Linked DNA regions of Nothobranchius furzeri. The main gene of each other region encodes a partner of the protein of the gene in region 2 in a complex. Links are inferred from orthologs where the notes say so. Each region holds a gene or a part of one and is shown on either strand. Other genes may lie near its edges.

Region 1 (8,025 bases), on a different chromosome or scaffold from region 2:
AAAACAACTCAAGATGTTTTAAATCTCCCTGGTTGGTCCACATCACTCCTGGCTGATCTCTAATTGGCTGCTGCACCAAACTAAATGGAAGCAGGACAGAAACCTCCAGTTTAACAAGTGAGAATCTGAAACCCAGCTGTGACATCATCCGCTTCTCTGTCCAAAGTGTTTCTGACTTTCAGCTGTGAATTTTTTTCCTCTTGTCATCGAAAAGGTTTCATCAGCAGACGCCGTTCCGATGATTTTATTGTAAATAATAGTTTGGTTTATTTTTGTTTCTCTGTGAAGTTTCTGACAAAATAAACTGAAGCGAAACATTTTGCTGAGTCGTCCACCTGTTGAGTGCTAGATTTAGTAATATGTTAAGTTTTCTAGTGATTTGACCAAAATGTCTTTCTCATGATTTTAGTTAAAACTCTTGCATTGCAGCCAATGCTCACCTTGTTTAACAAAGATACAATAAAAAAAACTTGAGTTTAATCATAAGAAAAAGCAAAAAATTCTAAATTTCTCTTTTTATCCCAAGTTAAAAAAACACATTGCACATTTTCTTAAAATAAAACATTGACACAGATTGAACAAAAGCTTTAACCAACAATTTACAAAATACAATTTATTTTATTTTAATCATTTCAAGTTTGAACCTCTAAACGTAACCTCCCACTCAGGACAAATCCTCTCGGATGACATTAATTGTATTTTTCTGTTAAGGCTCAGAAAACCTCCATAAATTTGTCATTTAGTACAAATGATGTTGCCGTAGACTCGTTTAATGCGGATTAATCAGCTGAATATCAGCCCTGAAAATCCACCAGTCTGTTAAGCAAGCAAGCAGCCGCTGAGTAAAACATTAAATATACAACAAATGATGTTTTTCCCTTAGAGATAAACTGGGACAAGATGTCTGTTTAGTTTGAATCAAAACATGATGGAAAACAGGTTTGAAAAGATCAAAAATCCATTGAATCTTTACAAATTTCTCAAAAATACACAACTAGAATAATTTTTTTTATAATAAATGCTCCTGATTGTGCACCATTTCGCTCTTAACAGTCTTGCTGATATTTAGAAAAACTTTCTACTTCAAATAATTGATCTGTTATTTAAAATAAAACGATTTACAAGACAAGATAAAGCCTGTCCTGATTTCCCTCGTCCATCCTGACTCTAAAATGTTTCAGTTTTAAAAACAGCCTCTGCATCTCATTGGCTGGGTCTCAGCCGTCAGTTGATTCGCTCGTAGGCCGTCACCGTAGCGTGCCTCCTTTTATAGAGGAAGACAAAAACTCCCCCCAGGAGCAGGAGGATCACAGGAGCCCCCAAACACACCGCCATGATGGCGAGAACCAGGGGAGAGAACGAGTCAACGGGAGGAGAGCCAACGCCCACCAGCATGGTCCTGAAAGAGGAAAAACACACTCAGGTTTTTTTATTCACCTGTTCTGATTTTAAACATCCGATTAGATCGTGAACAAACCAGCTGAGGAACATGGTGCTGTTGTAGAAGGGTTCTCCTGCCATGCCGAAGCTCACGTTCATTCCCATAACTTCTGGATTTGAATAGAAGCCTCGAATCAGAGCAGATAAAGCTGCCGTTTCCTCTCCGTTTTGTGAATCTGGGTCAGAGTGGCGGCAAGGCGTGGCGTCCTCCAGCACCGGATGGGACTTCCTGTACGCCACAGGCTTCCACTGGACAAAACCCAGAATGTCTGAGCTTCCGTTTATTGAGGATACCCACTGGAACATCTGAGAGAGGAAAGAACAAAAACAACACAAATAAGACATGGTGACATCCGAGGAGGGCAAATCAAAAGCATATGAAGGCGTTGATAATCACCTTGAATATCGACGGCGTGTACTCGTCATCGATGGACTGGCGAGTGTCCACTCTGCTTAGCGGATAGGTCCCACTCACTGCCTGCAGTTCCAACACAAACCTGGAGGCATTTGATCTCGGCAATATGCCATTAAGCCACACCTCCACCTGGGAGGAGTTAGCAGAATGTAGGAGGCGAGGCCATAACTTGTTACGCCCCTCCGAGTCAAACACAGACAACTGAAAAAGATAAAATGTCAAACATTTTATTATGATCTTTTTCTTTAGTATTCAAAATCAGACTTTTGTCACCATAGCGACAAACCTGCAGGCAGAGCGACCCATTGGTGGAGTCCGAGGGGGCTCCACAGAGCAGAGATGTTGCACCAGACAGGTTGAAAAGAGACCAGCTGAAGTCCTGCAGCTCGTGCGGAGGGAGAAGGTCTGAGGATGCCTCAGCGGTGTTGTTTACGTCATCATACTCCCACAGCTAAAAAACAACAACAGGGTTATCCAATAAACACACATCAGGGTTTTTCCTTTGGACAGACTGGCTAATGTTTCTGACCCGACTGAAGACGACAGCAGAGCTGTACAAGATGCTGCTCTCTGGCTCCACCGTTAGGCTGCCGCTGGTATTACGACTCGAAAACTGGGACCAGTTTACCTGAAACACAAAACCCAAACATTTAGATAGAAATCATACTTGGTCTGCAAAAAATCAAATGAAAATGAATACTAATCCAGACTGGGACTAATGGGCCATTCCCATCTGTATTGGGTCGGCCCGGGCCGGGTAGCGTAGGTTGTTTACATATCTGGGTGGCCTGGTATTTTTCCGGGCCAACCAAGGCTCATTCTCAGCCCTCTTCTCGAGGGGGTCTGCTTCAGGCCGACCAGGGCCAACACACCCACTGCTGACAGCAAACTCACACCTTCCATTAGAGCAAGCCTCTGATTGGTGGGTAGAATCAGCCCACATGGGCTTAAGACAAGGATGTGTGGAATCAACCGGGCCAGGCTGGGGTCGACTGGGGCTACCCGGCCCGGGCCGACCCAGTACAGATGGGAATGGCCCTAGAGTTTTCTTGCCTACCCCTCCCCTACACAAATCATGATGAGTTTTTTTAAAAGATCAAATAAGTTTATTAGAATAATTTTAATCTGAACATACAGCAACAAGCTGATAACTATGTTTACATATTTAGCAAACACTTTTTTCCAAAGCAACTTACAAGAGAAAATGAAGCCAGCACGTTGACCTTGAAGCTAACAACAAACATTAGTCAGTCAATCGTAGGTGGCAGTGAGGCAGCATAATAAATGATAAAGGGAAGTGAACAGGGAGTAGACAATAGAGTGGGGGACGGTGCAGGTAGGGTGCTAGTTTAGAAGATGCTCTCTGAAGAGCTGGGTCTTCAGGAGTTTCTTGAAAATCGACAAGGAAGCCCCTGTTCTGGTAGGTCATTCCACATCTGTGGAAACACACATGAAAAGAGTCTGGATTGTCCTGAGCGTGGTGTAGGCACTGCTAGTCAACAATCCTTCGATGATCTAGTACACAGCCCTGGGGAACTCCTATGGAAAGATGGTGAAGAGCAGAAGATTGTCCGAACCAAGATACAGAATGGTCGTTCTGTGCGGTACGATTCAAATCAGGAGTGTGCTTTCCCTGTGACACCCATGCTAGAGAGTATGGAGCAAAGGAAGCCATGATTGACAGTGTCAACTGCAGCCGATAAGTCAAGCAGCAACAACTGTGTGACTCAACAATACAATTATCTGGTGGTGCATTAATGTTTTACTCAGGAAATTGTCCCATTTATTTATATGGAGGAGGTAGGGCTTAAAACTTATAATGCAACCAGTCATAGTGGGACGACCAGTTTTTCCATCTTCAACGTATACCTTCTCCTCAGTTTTACACAAGATGTATATTGCACATTAATATATTTATTTATATTTACATAATCGGACGATGTGCCAAACCTTGACAGTGGAAGAAGAACTGTTAGTATGGACGAGCAGCAGTGTTGGTGCCCCTTGACTGCAGAACAGGTAGTGCAGCGTGTCGTTTTGTCCTACAGCTCTCACATGCAGCAGTTCACCACCGCGAGGAAGAGAGCTTGAGTTTGGGTTCAGCTGCACAAACAGCTGAAATACGAAAATACAAAGATTTGCAAATCAGGACTGATCAAAATCTGCAACAGCTTACTATCTGATTGATCAGCTGAAAGTCCTTTCGCAGAATTCACATTTCTGATAAGACTATTGATTTTTAACTGATTCAGTTATCACAACTCACATGACTGCTGCAAACAGAATTTTTCCTGAAGACAAAGGGCTACATTTGTTGCTTAGGTTAGGGGTAAGCCATGGAGCAGTAACAGGATTAAAGACTGACTTAAAAATGGACATTTCACATTTCAATAATATTGCCATTAATCAACCTGATTATTAGCAATAAAAGTCATTTTTAATATTAATGATAGACCAAAATCTGGTCAGTTAAGAAACAGCTTCAGATGGCCATGTGAAAAGCTTAAGATTGCAATAAAAAGTAAATTTCCCAAAAAATAAATAGAAACAAAACAAAACGATGACTGACCTGGTTTGGGTTTGTTTTTCATTCAAATATTTTCTTCAAGCTGCATTTTACCATTAAAATAATAGAATTAAGAAACGTGGATAAGCGGATTAATATAGCATATAAACAAAAAATAAAGACTTTCATATCTCTAATCAACACTATCACTTCCTGTATTTTCCTCCGATACTTTTCGACCTTTAAAGTCTAAATTTAAACCACGTTGCTGTCACTTCTATTTCCTTACCTTTCTTTTGTAAGTATTTCCTCCGTAAAACAAACTTAGACATGAACGAAAAGTAAAAACAAGTAAAATCGTACTAATTAGTAACCTCCCCGTGGCCGCCATCTCTGTTGTGACCGAGCTGTGCAGTGGGTCACATGACCTCCCTCCTTCATGTCAGGTGACCACACTGAGGCCCCGCCCCTTGTGACTTAACAGCCAATAAAACGTCTAATCATCATTTTAGTCAATAAGCCAAGAAAGTCTTGATTTTTGAACATTAACCCCTAAAAATATAAATATATTATTCAGGACTGACTTCTTCATTGAACCAATGAAATACTGTTAATTATAACCAGCAATTCAAAACAAAAGCCTTCAGATAGATTTGTTTTATATTATTTTAGTGATGAAATTCAATATATTTACTGTTTGGATTTGTTTGTTTACCTTTTTTGCATGCCAAAATGGCGTCCACTAACTGAGAGTCACGTGGGGTCCGGAGCTCTATTGATGCCAAAACACCCAGCATTATCTGGCAGTTGGTAAAATAAAATAAGTGCTGAAAACAAACCAACTTTTTCTACATTTTGTACCATTAATACTGAAAATGTTTAGTATTTTACACACCTTTATAGCCATTTACTTGAATCCTAATGTTTTATAAGGCACATTAAATGTTTTGTATTTGTTTAAAGTTTAACTGAGCCAAATCACTTTAATGTGGAATCTTAAATGTGAACAAAATCACACAGAAACTTCTAACTGCTCAATCGATTAACAACTAACTTCAGTAAAACTTTTCTGTTCTCATGTGCACACATCTGGATTTTTGTTTAGACTCTGGAACACTTCAAATAAATTCTGGCCATAAATAATCACAATAACTGAGAGGACTTTGATTCAAAAGCCATTTCAACAAAGAGACAAAAATATAATCGTCGTCTTCCTCCGCTTATACGGGTCCTGGTCGCGGGGGGAGCATCCCAACTAGGGAGCTCCAGACCGTCCTCTCCCCAGCCACCTCCACCAGCAGGACCCCAAGGCATTCCCGGACCAGATTGGAGATGTAACCTCTCCAACGTGTCCTGGGTCGACCCGGGGGCCTCCTGCCGGCAGGACATGCCCGAAACACCTCCCCAGGGAGGCGTCCAGGAGGCATCCTGACCAGATGCCCAAACCACCTCAACTGACTCCTTTCGATCCGGAGGAGCAGCGTTTCTACTCTGAGTCCCTCCCGAATGTCCGAGCTCCTCACCCTATCTCTAAGGCTGAGCCCGACCACCCTACGGAGGAAACATTTCGGCCGCTTGTATCTGCGATCTCGTTCTTTCGGTCATTACCCAGAGCTCATTACCATAGGTGAGGATTGGGACTTAGATCGATCGGTAAATCGAGGGCCTGGCTTTCTGGCTCAGCTCCTTCTTCACCATGACAGATTGGCTCAGCGTCCGCATCACTGCAGACGCCGAACCAATCCGCCTGTCGATCTCCCGATTCCTCCTACCCTCACTCGTGAACAAGACCCCAAGATACTTAAAAGTCCTCCACTTGAGGTAGGACCTCTCTCCCAACCCGGAGTTGGCAAGCCACCCTTTTCCGGTCGAGAACCATGGTCTCAGATTTGGAGGTGCTGATCCTCATCCCAGCCGCTTCACACTCGGCCGCAAACCTACCCACCAAGAGCTGAAGGTCAGAGCTGGATGAAGCTAGAAGGACTACATCATCCACAAAAAGCAGAGACGAGATTCTCCTGCCACCAAACTCGACACACTCCACACCACGGCTGTGCCTAGAAATTTTGTCCATATAGGTAATGAACAGAACCGGTGACAAAGGGCAGCCCTGGCGGAGTCCAACCCTCAGCGGGAACAGGTCCGACTTACTACCGGCTCTGCGGACCAAACTCACGCTCCTCTGGTAAAGGGACTGAATGGCCCTTAACAGAAAGCCACCCACCCCATACTCCTGGAGCGTCCCCCACAGGGTGCCCCTGGGGACACAGTCATAAGCCTTCTCCAAATCCACAAAACACATGTGGATTGGGTGGGCAAACTCCCATGCCCCCTCCATCACCCTTGCAAGGGTATAGAGCTGGTCCACAGTTCCATGGCCAGGACGAAAACCACATTGCTCCTCCTCAATCTGAGATTCAACTATCGATCGGGCCTTCCTCTCCAGAACCTTGGAGTAGACCTTTCCAGGGAGGCTGAGGAGTGCGATCCCCCTATAGTTGGAACACGCCCTCAGGTCACCCTTCTTAAAGATGGGGACCACCTCCCCGGTCTGCCACAGGAACTGCCCCCGATGACCACTGTGTGTTGGGGTTTACCCCGGGGGGCGAGAGGGTAGCTCCCTGCGCCTTCGGGTCGGGGAACGAGTCCTGACTGTTGTTTGTGCTTATGGGCCAAATATCAGTTCAGAGTACCCACCCTTTTTGGAGTCCCTGGGACGAGTGCTAGATAGTGCTCCATCAGGGGACTCCATTGTCCTGCTGGGGGACTTCAATGCTCACGTGGGCAATGACAGCATGACCTGGAGGGGTGTGATTGGGAGGAACTTGGGAGCCTGATCTGAACTCGAGTGGTGTTTCGTTATTGGACTTCTGTGCAAGCCGCAGTTTGGCCATAACAAACACCATGTTCGAACATAAGGATGCCCATCGGTACACTTGGTACCAGGGCAGCCTAGGTTGCAGGTCGATGATAGACTTTGTAGTCGTATCATCGGACCTGCGGCCGTATGTTTTGGACACCCGAGTGAAGAGAGCAGAGCTGTCAACTGATCACCACCTGGTGGTGAGTTGGATCAGATGGCAGGGGAAGATGCCACGTAGACCTGGCAGACCCAAACGCATAGTGAGGGTCTGCTGGGAACGCCTGGCAGAAGAACCTGTCAAGACGGTCTTCAACTCCCCCCTCCGGCAGAGCTTTGACCGCGTCCCGAGAGCAGTGGGGGACATTGACTCTGAATGGGCCTTGTTCCATTCTGCGATTGTTGAGGCGGCTGTTGCTAGCTGTGGTCGCAAGGTGGCCGGTGCCAGTCGTGGTGGCAACCCCCGTACCCGCTGGTGGACACCAGAGGTTCGGGGAGCCGTCAGGCTGAAGAAGGAGGCCTACAGGGTGTGGCTGGTCTGTGGGTCTCCGGAGGCAGCAGACAGGTACCGGATAGCTAAGCGGGGTGCAGCAGTGGCAGTTGCCGAGGCAAAATCTCGGGCGTGGGAGAAGTTTGGTGAGGCCATGGAGAAAGGTTATCGATTGGCTCCAAAGAGGTTCTGGCAAACTGTCCGGCGCCTCAGGAGAGGAAGGCAGCAACTCGCTCACACTGTTTACAGTGGGGATGGGGAGCTGCTGACGTCAACTGGGGCTATAGTCGGACGGTGGAAGGAATACTTTGAGG
Region 2 (7,987 bases):
CGCTAACCATGGCCATGAATGTATCGATGCCCTACTGCGCGCTGGAAAGTGTAGCAGTGTCTACAACATATTGGATGGGTCCCTCACTCTCCAAACCCAATTAGAGTCAATGCAGGGTGAGCAAGTATGCCCGTTTTGTGCAGCCAACGATTGCAACAACCAGTGCACTATTGATAACAGGTCACGTGGGATTACTGTGGGCTTTTCTAGCCTACCTGCTGGGATTTTACATTTGAATATGTTTTGTCTATTTTATATTCATATTTTAATCATCATGCCATTCCATATGTATGATGGTCTGAAAGGGCAGAGTAAAATGTGATTTTTAATTGGGTAAACACCTTTCTGAGTAGAAATGAATGCACTGCGGGCGAATGGAAACCCATCCAAGATGGCATATGGCCACAATGGTAGTTCCAATAGGCAGTGATGTCTGTGGTGCTAGCAACAAGCTAACAATAACATGAGCCAACAAATATGAAGTAAAAAGATCCGTACTGTTGGACAAAACATATTATTACTTACAAGTTCAGTAGCAACAAAGCCAGGTCATCATTAGTCTGTGATTTTGTAGCCTCCTTTAGCTCCCACAAGCTAGTGTAGGCCGTGTTGATGTTCATGCTGGTTTCAGCTCTTTGCTTCACCTCATTTACTTTCACTTCCTGGCCCCACCATGATGCCAACAGAAAAAGCAAACTTCTTCTTTTTCTTCTTCTTGTGCTTTTTATTGACAAACAGCGAACTGAAAAAGCTAACCGCTAGCATAACAGCTAACAGCTGTAAAGCAGGTAAAGAGCTCCTCCTATAGAGCACCTACTCACCCCACAAAGATGTTGATTGCAGTGTCTGGTCAGTGGAGGCTGCAGAGTGGTGTCAACTATAAAACTGGTCAGGCTTCTAACTCAACAATCACTGAGATCAATGTTAAAGCTCTAGTTTAAACATTAAAAAACTAGCAATACCTTAAAAAGGCCGTGATTGGGCTCTTTTTTTTTTTTTTTTTTGGCAACCAGAGATGTTTTGGAGGTAGTCCACTTCTGAAACCTCCTCACTTGTTTTGGTGTGTTATTCTAATCTTATCCACATCTGCTTTTACATCATGTAGCCATGTTCCCTTGACTCAGATCAGATGTGTGATAGTGCTTATGAAACCAAAGTTTACCACCCGACAAGGCTGTAGCGTGCAAGTAAAGCACCCTCCTGCTGCCATGTCTGGTTCAAACAGAGAAGAAAAAAAAGTAATTCTGAAATAAATTTGTTTTCTTGAACTGTGCAACAACCAAAAGATGGATGTGAGGACATTCACAAACTATGTCTGCAGGAATAATGTCACCTCCTGCATGATTTATAATAGAGTCGGCATGCGGGGTTGATTAATCTAATAATGAAACATGATATCTCTCCAGCCCACCCGCTGTCGGTCATGACAGAAGCTGATAATTGGCCAGGAAATTAATAAGCTACATTGCGATTGGAGCGGCATCTGCAGCCACTGGAAGGGTCGTTTGTCACCCCCAGATTAAATCCGCAGACAGATGAACCTGTAGCAGTGAATCATGGGGAATTTTAAATGACATTCATGGAACAACAAAACAATTGCCCCTCGGGGGTGATTAAAGTTTTTTTGAATTTGAATTTGAATTTGAATGGAAATTCAACAAACCCTGTAGACAGGCTGGGTGTTTGCTCAGACTCAGGTTGAGGCAAAGCGAGGATGATTTTTCAGGATGAGGGGTTCTTTTAAAGAGCAAGTCACCCCCAAATCAACTTTTTTTTGCTGATAAACTATATAAATGTGTGTCTAATTGTGCTGCAGACATGTGTCGTCAATAATTTGGTACTTCAGTGCATCTTAGTTAAAATTTAAATATTCTGCCTAAAACTGTCAGTGTTGTGCCGTCGTCAGGTAAAAACTCTGCACTGTATTTGAATTTAAATCTGCCACCGCTATTGGCTAAGAGGTATGCTATGATGTAAACAGTACATTATGATGTCACAATGTCGTTGTGAGCCTGTGTGTATATTTGTTAGCGGCTCCGCCGTCTCGGTCTGCTAGGCAACAGCATTTGTTGCATTTTTCAAATATGAAGAGGGAGTGAAGTAAGTTTCTTGTAGGGGGTGACTTGCTCTTTAAGCGACTGTGTGGTAGTTGAGTCAGACAGACGTGTTTAATTATAAGTAAAACCAATCAGGATTATTTCAAATGTTTAAGATCAAGATGCTCCAGAAGGTTGTCATCAGGGCAAAAGCTCCTTCTTTAACTTAGCAGGTAAGTGGTTCAAGCTTCGAATGAATGCAGGTTTAGAAGAATGGGAAATTACACAAAACAAACAAACAAACAAAAATAAATGGACAAAAGCTAAACGTTCTCAGTGTGAGTGGCACAAAAACAGAACTGAAGCTAAGGCTCAGGGTTATTATTTTCACATCTATTAGTTGCTAATTGTTTATAAACGTCATTTAAAAATAAAATCTGGTTTGGAAAGATTGCAATTGATCAATAAACATTATCATGATAAACTGATATTCTGAGATTGCTTTGGAACTACCTCCTTTAGTTGATAGTTGTTTTGTTTTCAGATTATTATTATTAATAGTTTTAATACAAATTATTTTCTACAGAAAAGGAGGTGCAATGATCCACTGTGTCCACTAGGAGGAAGAAGAATGTCCTTTAAAAATACAAAAATCTTCCACAATAATGACTGAACAAGAATGTTTATGAACTGAAACTGAGCATTTGAGGCTTGAGTTAAATTTTTCTTGCAATCTTCAAAAGGTTTTATTGGAAGTAATTCACTACTTATCTGACAGTGTCCACAAGACCTAGGTCCCTGTGTGTAATAATACACTTTTAATTACTGTATACAGTTTCTCACTCTGGAATTTGGCATTTCTGCTGATGTGTTGTGTCACTGGTGACCTGTCCAGGGCCACAGTGTCCCCTGCCTCTCGCCCCCTCTCGACATATCGTATATAAGTCGATGCTCTCGCCTGTTGACTGTTGGCATTGGGCGTCAGTTCTCTGTGACCCTAGAGAAGAAAGGGTAGTTTGGATTCCCAAATGTGGGGTTGGCACCCCCTGTGGGTCTCCAAGAGCTACACAGGTATGATGATTTCCAGGAATCAACATAAAATTGAAAAACACACACTAAAGATATATTTTTTAGCATAAGTATTACAAAAACTTTACCAAAATGTCATAAATAGATATAAATGAATATGAGCTGACGCACCCAGCATAATTTCGCTTTCTAATCACAGATGGTCAGATCAGAGATTATGGAGATTGCTTGACAATTGTCATTCAGTTATCGTCTTCTCAGAAAGCTGCAATAAATGTTTAGTTTTTTTTTTGAAAGACTAAAAACTTCACACAGACTTACAGCATAATAATACATGTTACCATCCCACAGGCATCTTTTCACCATTTTCATCAACAGTTCTAGTTTTCTATAATGCTGTTTTGACAGTAACTTTAATTGTTATCACACTTTACAGATGCAACTGTAATCACCTTAAAAGGAAATGACGCGCTTACTGTGGTAATCTCTCTAATATCAACTTTATTTAGCCAAAAACAACCTTCCAAAAAACGTTGTATTTTGCCTCGCGCGCGCGCCCGATTCACAAGTCTGCGCACGCAAACGTCACGTCACACTGTCACGTGACTGTTCCACTCGCTCATATGACCGATGGATTCTCTCCCCAGCAGCCGCTAACTTTGCCCAAAAAAAGGGGAACATGGCGGATTTCGAGGAGCGGCGGGGCCTGTTGGGAGACGAGGCCGAGGGCTCGTCTACCGGCCGGAAGGCGGACCGAGGACCCGGCCGGCCGCTGGCCGCCATATGCGACCCCAGCCACTTTCTGCACCGAGTCGTTGTTTTGGTTTTCATGTGCTTCCTGGGGTTCGGTGAGAAGCTGTTGTGGAGTTTTTTTTTTTTTAGTTTAAAGTTTTCAAGACTCCCAAATATTTAAAAAAAAAAAACGTTTTTACCCTAAACGCTCCTGTGCTGTATTATTGTTTAGGTTTATCGTTTGGTAACGTTTGTTTCGTTTCAGGAAGCTACTTCTGTTATGACAATCCAGCAGCGCTCCAGACTCAAGTAATCCAGGTAAATGTCACAAACTATTATAATTAATACCAGGCTGAAAAAGCTGACTAGTGGATTTCTGTCAGCCCCGACAACTGATTTAGGGAAACAGCAGCCGTCCAATCAGAAGTGTCAGTCTGTCTCCTGATCATTAACCCGAGTCCTTCCCCCTGACTCCCCCAGGATCTAAACCTGAACACGGCAAAGTTCATGCAGCTTTACGCCTGGTACTCCTGGCCAAATGTGGTCCTCTGCTTCTTTGGGGGTTTTCTGCTCGACAGGGTTTTTGGCATCAGGTAGAGCAACAACAAAGTGTCCTGCTTGTTTTGGCGACACTTTCACCTAAAACTGAATGTTTATTTCTTTTGCAGGCTGGGAACCATCATCTTCTCCCTCTTCGTCTGTGTTGGACAGGTTGGTTTATTCTCTAATCTGTTTTTGAAATACAGATTTATCATAAAAGTATTGACTTTTTCCCAATATCCACATAGGTAATATTTGCAGCTGGAGCTTGGACCAATCACTTCTGGCTGATGGAAGCTGGACGTTTTGTTTTTGGGTAAATTATGGAAAATGAATGGTCCATTTTTAAGCTCACTGAGTTAAGATCATCATATCTGCACATTTACAGCCCTTAGCTAAAAGTTAAGTTAGTCCTTCAATTAGGTGTCTGTCGATTCACCATTTAATCAATGCATTGTGATGGGACAGGCCGGTTCTAAATCGATTTCTAAATAGATGTTTGTCAAAGTCTGAAAAACAACAGCAAAGCCTGGCTGGAAAACTTAAAGTTACACGTGCTGCCATGACACTGGGTGGCGGGCCATTGGAAAAAAACATTACAGCAACAGCGGCGGCTTGTTGCTAAGCTCCAGCCACTGAGCGTGGGAGTCACTTGTCAGGATTAAAGAGAAGTTGTATAGAACTAAAATAAAAACAACAACACTAGTAACCTGCAGCAGCACGTTACATGTTCCCATCATGGTGTTGGATGAAGAGAAGCCGGCGGTTGTTCCTCCTAACCAGCCAACTATCGAAGGATTACCAAAACTTGCCTACAAGTCCAGCTTTTTTCACAAGACTATGGCGGCACTTTGCTGCAATGCTGAGGCCGCATCGGGGAGCCTTTGGTCGTTTATAAGTGGTCGGTCTGTAGCAGTAACGTGGTGAGATCACATGTTCACTAAAGATTACACAATGGTGGTATAAAGTGGGTGTGGGGCCCATGTCTGCACTGTCGTGAACTTCCTTTTAGCTTAAACATTTTTTTATGCCGATTGAAGCAATGCTCCTTAAGGGTTTATTTTTTCCCACTTGCCCTTCACAGTACTCGTGAACTGTGGTGATTTTCAGATGTAGAGGCCAGAAGATCTGCATGTCTCCGTTCTGTCTTGATTCTGTTTACAAAAGTCATTTTCATTACTCAGGTTTATCCTGTAGATTTCATGCAAACGTGTGTGTAGGGTACATGGATATGATAATGGAGTAAAAAGTATGTGGTAACTGGAGTTGATGTGTGCTGAATTAATCTAAAAGTATGAAAAAACTGATGTGAGAAACAAACCTCTACGGTGGAAAAAAAATGCACCATAAATGGTCGTCGTCGTCGTCATCTTCCTCCGCTTATCCGGGTCCGGGTCGCGGGGGCAGCATCCCAACTAGGGAGCTCCAGGCCGTCCTCTCCCCGGCCTTGTCCACCAGCTCCTCCGACAGGACCCCAAGGCGTTCCCGGACCAGATTGGAGATGTAACCTCTCCAACGTGTCCTGGGTCGACCCGGGGGCCTTCTGCCGGCAGGACATGCCCGAAACACCTCCCCGGGGAGGCGTCCAGGAGGCATCCTGACCAGATGCCCAATCCACCTCAACTGGCTCCTTTCGATCCGGAGGAGCAGCGGTTCTACTCCGAGTCCCTCCCGAATGTCCGAGCTCCTCACCCTATATCTAAGGCTGAGCCCGGCCACCCTACGGAGGAAACTCATTTCGGCCGCTTGTATCCGCGATCTCGTTCTTTCGGTCATTACCCAAAGCTCATGACCATAGGTGAGGATTGGGACGTAGATCGACCGGTAAATCGAGAGCCTGGCTTTCTGGCTCAGCTCCCTCTTCCCCACGACAGATCGGCTCAGCGTCCGCATCACTGCAGACGCCGAACCAATCCGCCTGTCGATCTCCCGATCCCTCCTACCCTCACTCGTGAACAAGACCCCGAGATACTTAAACTCCTCCACTTGAGGTAGGACCTCTCCCCCGACCCGGAGGTGGCAAGCCACCCTTTTCCGGTCGAGAACCATGGTCTCAGATTTGGAGGTGCTGATCCTCATCCCAGCCGCTTCACATTCGGCCGCGAACCTACCCAGCAAGAGCTGAAGGTCAGAGCTGGATGAAGCTAGGAGGACCACATCATCCGCAAATGCAGAGACGAGATTCTCCTGCCACCAAACTGGACACACTCCACACCACGGCTGCGTCTAGAAATTCTGTCCATAAAAGTGATGAACAGAACCGGTGACAAAGGGCAGCCCTGGCGGAGTCCAACCCTCACTGGGAACAGGTCCGACTTACTACCGGCTATGCGGACCAAACTCACGCTCCTCTGGTAAAGGGACTGAATGGCCCTTAACAGAAAGCCACCCACCCCATACTCCTGGAGCGTCCCCCACAGGGTGCCCCTGGGGACATGGTCATAAGCCTTCTCCAAATCCACAAAGCACATGTGGATTGGTTGGGCAAACTCCCATGCCCCCTCCATCACCCTTGCAAGGGTATAGAGCTGGTCCACAGTTCCACGGCCAGGACGAAAACCACATTGCTCCTCCTCTATCTGAGATTCAACTATCGATCGGACCCTCCTCTCCAGTACCTTGGAGTAGACCTTTCCAGGGAGGCTGAGGAGTGTGATCCCCCTATAGTTGGAACACACCCTCAGGTCACCCTTCTTAAAGATGGGGACCACCACCCCGGTCTGCCACTCCCTAGGAACTGCCCCCGATGACCACGCAATGTTGTAGAGACGTGTCAACCATGACAGCCCTACAACATCCATAGCCTTGAGATACCCAGGACGAACCTCATCCGCCCCCGGGGCTCCGCCGCTGTGTAGTTGTTTGACTACCTCAGCAACTTCTGCCCCCGAGATCGGACAGTCCATCCCCAGGCCTCCCCGCTCTGGTTCCTCCTCGGAATGCGCATTGGTGGGATTGAGGAGCTCCTCAAAGTATTCCTTCCACCGTCCGACTATAGCCTCAGTTGACGTCAGCAGCTCCCCATCCCCACTGTAAACAGTGTGAGCGAGTTGCTGCCTTCCTCTCCTGAGGCGTCGGACAGTTTGCCAGAACCTCTTTGGAGCCGATCGATAGTCTTTCTCCATGGCCTCACCAAACTCCTCCCACGCCCGAGATTTTGCCTCAAAAACCCCAACACACAGGCAGAGAGTCTCGGGGCTAACAAAAAGCCAACCCCAGCCCTCCGCCTCTCACCCGGAGCAACTCCAGCAAAGTAGAGTGTCCAACCCCTCTCCAGGTCTCGGGTTCCAGAGCCAATGCAATGTGTCGAGGTGAGTCCGACTATATCTAGCCGGTACCGCTCAACCTCTGCCACAAGCTCCGGCTCCTTCCCCGCCAGCGAGGTGACGTTCCATGTCCCAAAAACTAGTTTTCTTGTCCGGGGATTGGACCGCCAAGGCTCCCGCCTTGGTCTGCCACCCGATTCGCATTGCACCGGACCCTTCAAGTTCCTCCTGCGGGTGGTGGGTCCACAGTTGGACGAGCCCATGTATCCGGTTCGGGCTGGGCCCGGCCGGGCCCCATGGGCGAAAGCCCGGCCACCAGGCGCTCGCTCACGGGCCCCAACCCCAGGCCTTGCTCCCGGGTGGGACCCCGGTAACCCTCCGGGC

The links.
Region 1: the proteins of mfsd1 (region 2) and glmp are in contact, whole or in part, in a cryo-EM structure (PDB 8R8Q), measured with the Mus musculus proteins. The link is inferred for Nothobranchius furzeri from reciprocal best matches to the Homo sapiens genes MFSD1 and GLMP. Residues at the interface, in NP_080089.1 of Mus musculus: Val288, Glu292, Lys293, Arg295, Phe349, Phe351, Leu411, Asp412, Lys414, Gly415, Tyr416, Leu417, Leu418, Val421, Ile424, Ser428, Leu432, Val435, Leu439; in NP_064387.1 of Mus musculus: Glu250, Asn252, Ser253, Ile254, Asp255, Asp256, Glu257, Pro260, Ala261, Phe263, Gln264, Arg292, Phe364, Leu367, Val368, Ile371, Met372, Ala375, Ala378, Leu381, Met382, Gly385, Phe389.

The regions. Positions count from the first base shown.
Region 1 is NC_091759.1:9,420,808-9,428,832, forward strand, and holds glmp (glycosylated lysosomal membrane protein), read right to left. Parts: upstream 4,807-8,025; 5' UTR 4,753-4,806; coding exon 4,651-4,752; intron 3,971-4,650; coding exon 3,806-3,970; intron 2,484-3,805; coding exon 2,385-2,483; intron 2,307-2,384; coding exon 2,142-2,306; intron 2,057-2,141; coding exon 1,838-2,056; intron 1,747-1,837; coding exon 1,478-1,746; intron 1,400-1,477; coding exon 1,225-1,399; 3' UTR 599-1,224; downstream 1-598. UniProt on the Homo sapiens protein: Required to protect lysosomal transporter MFSD1 from lysosomal proteolysis and for MFSD1 lysosomal localization.
Region 2 is NC_091753.1:52,076,165-52,084,151, forward strand, and holds the start of mfsd1 (lysosomal dipeptide transporter MFSD1), read left to right. Parts: upstream 1-3,584; 5' UTR 3,585-3,744; coding exon 3,745-3,913; intron 3,914-4,062; coding exon 4,063-4,115; intron 4,116-4,277; coding exon 4,278-4,390; intron 4,391-4,465; coding exon 4,466-4,508; intron 4,509-4,585; coding exon 4,586-4,653; intron 4,654-7,987. UniProt on the Homo sapiens protein: Lysosomal dipeptide uniporter that selectively exports lysine, arginine or histidine-containing dipeptides with a net positive charge from the lysosome lumen into the cytosol.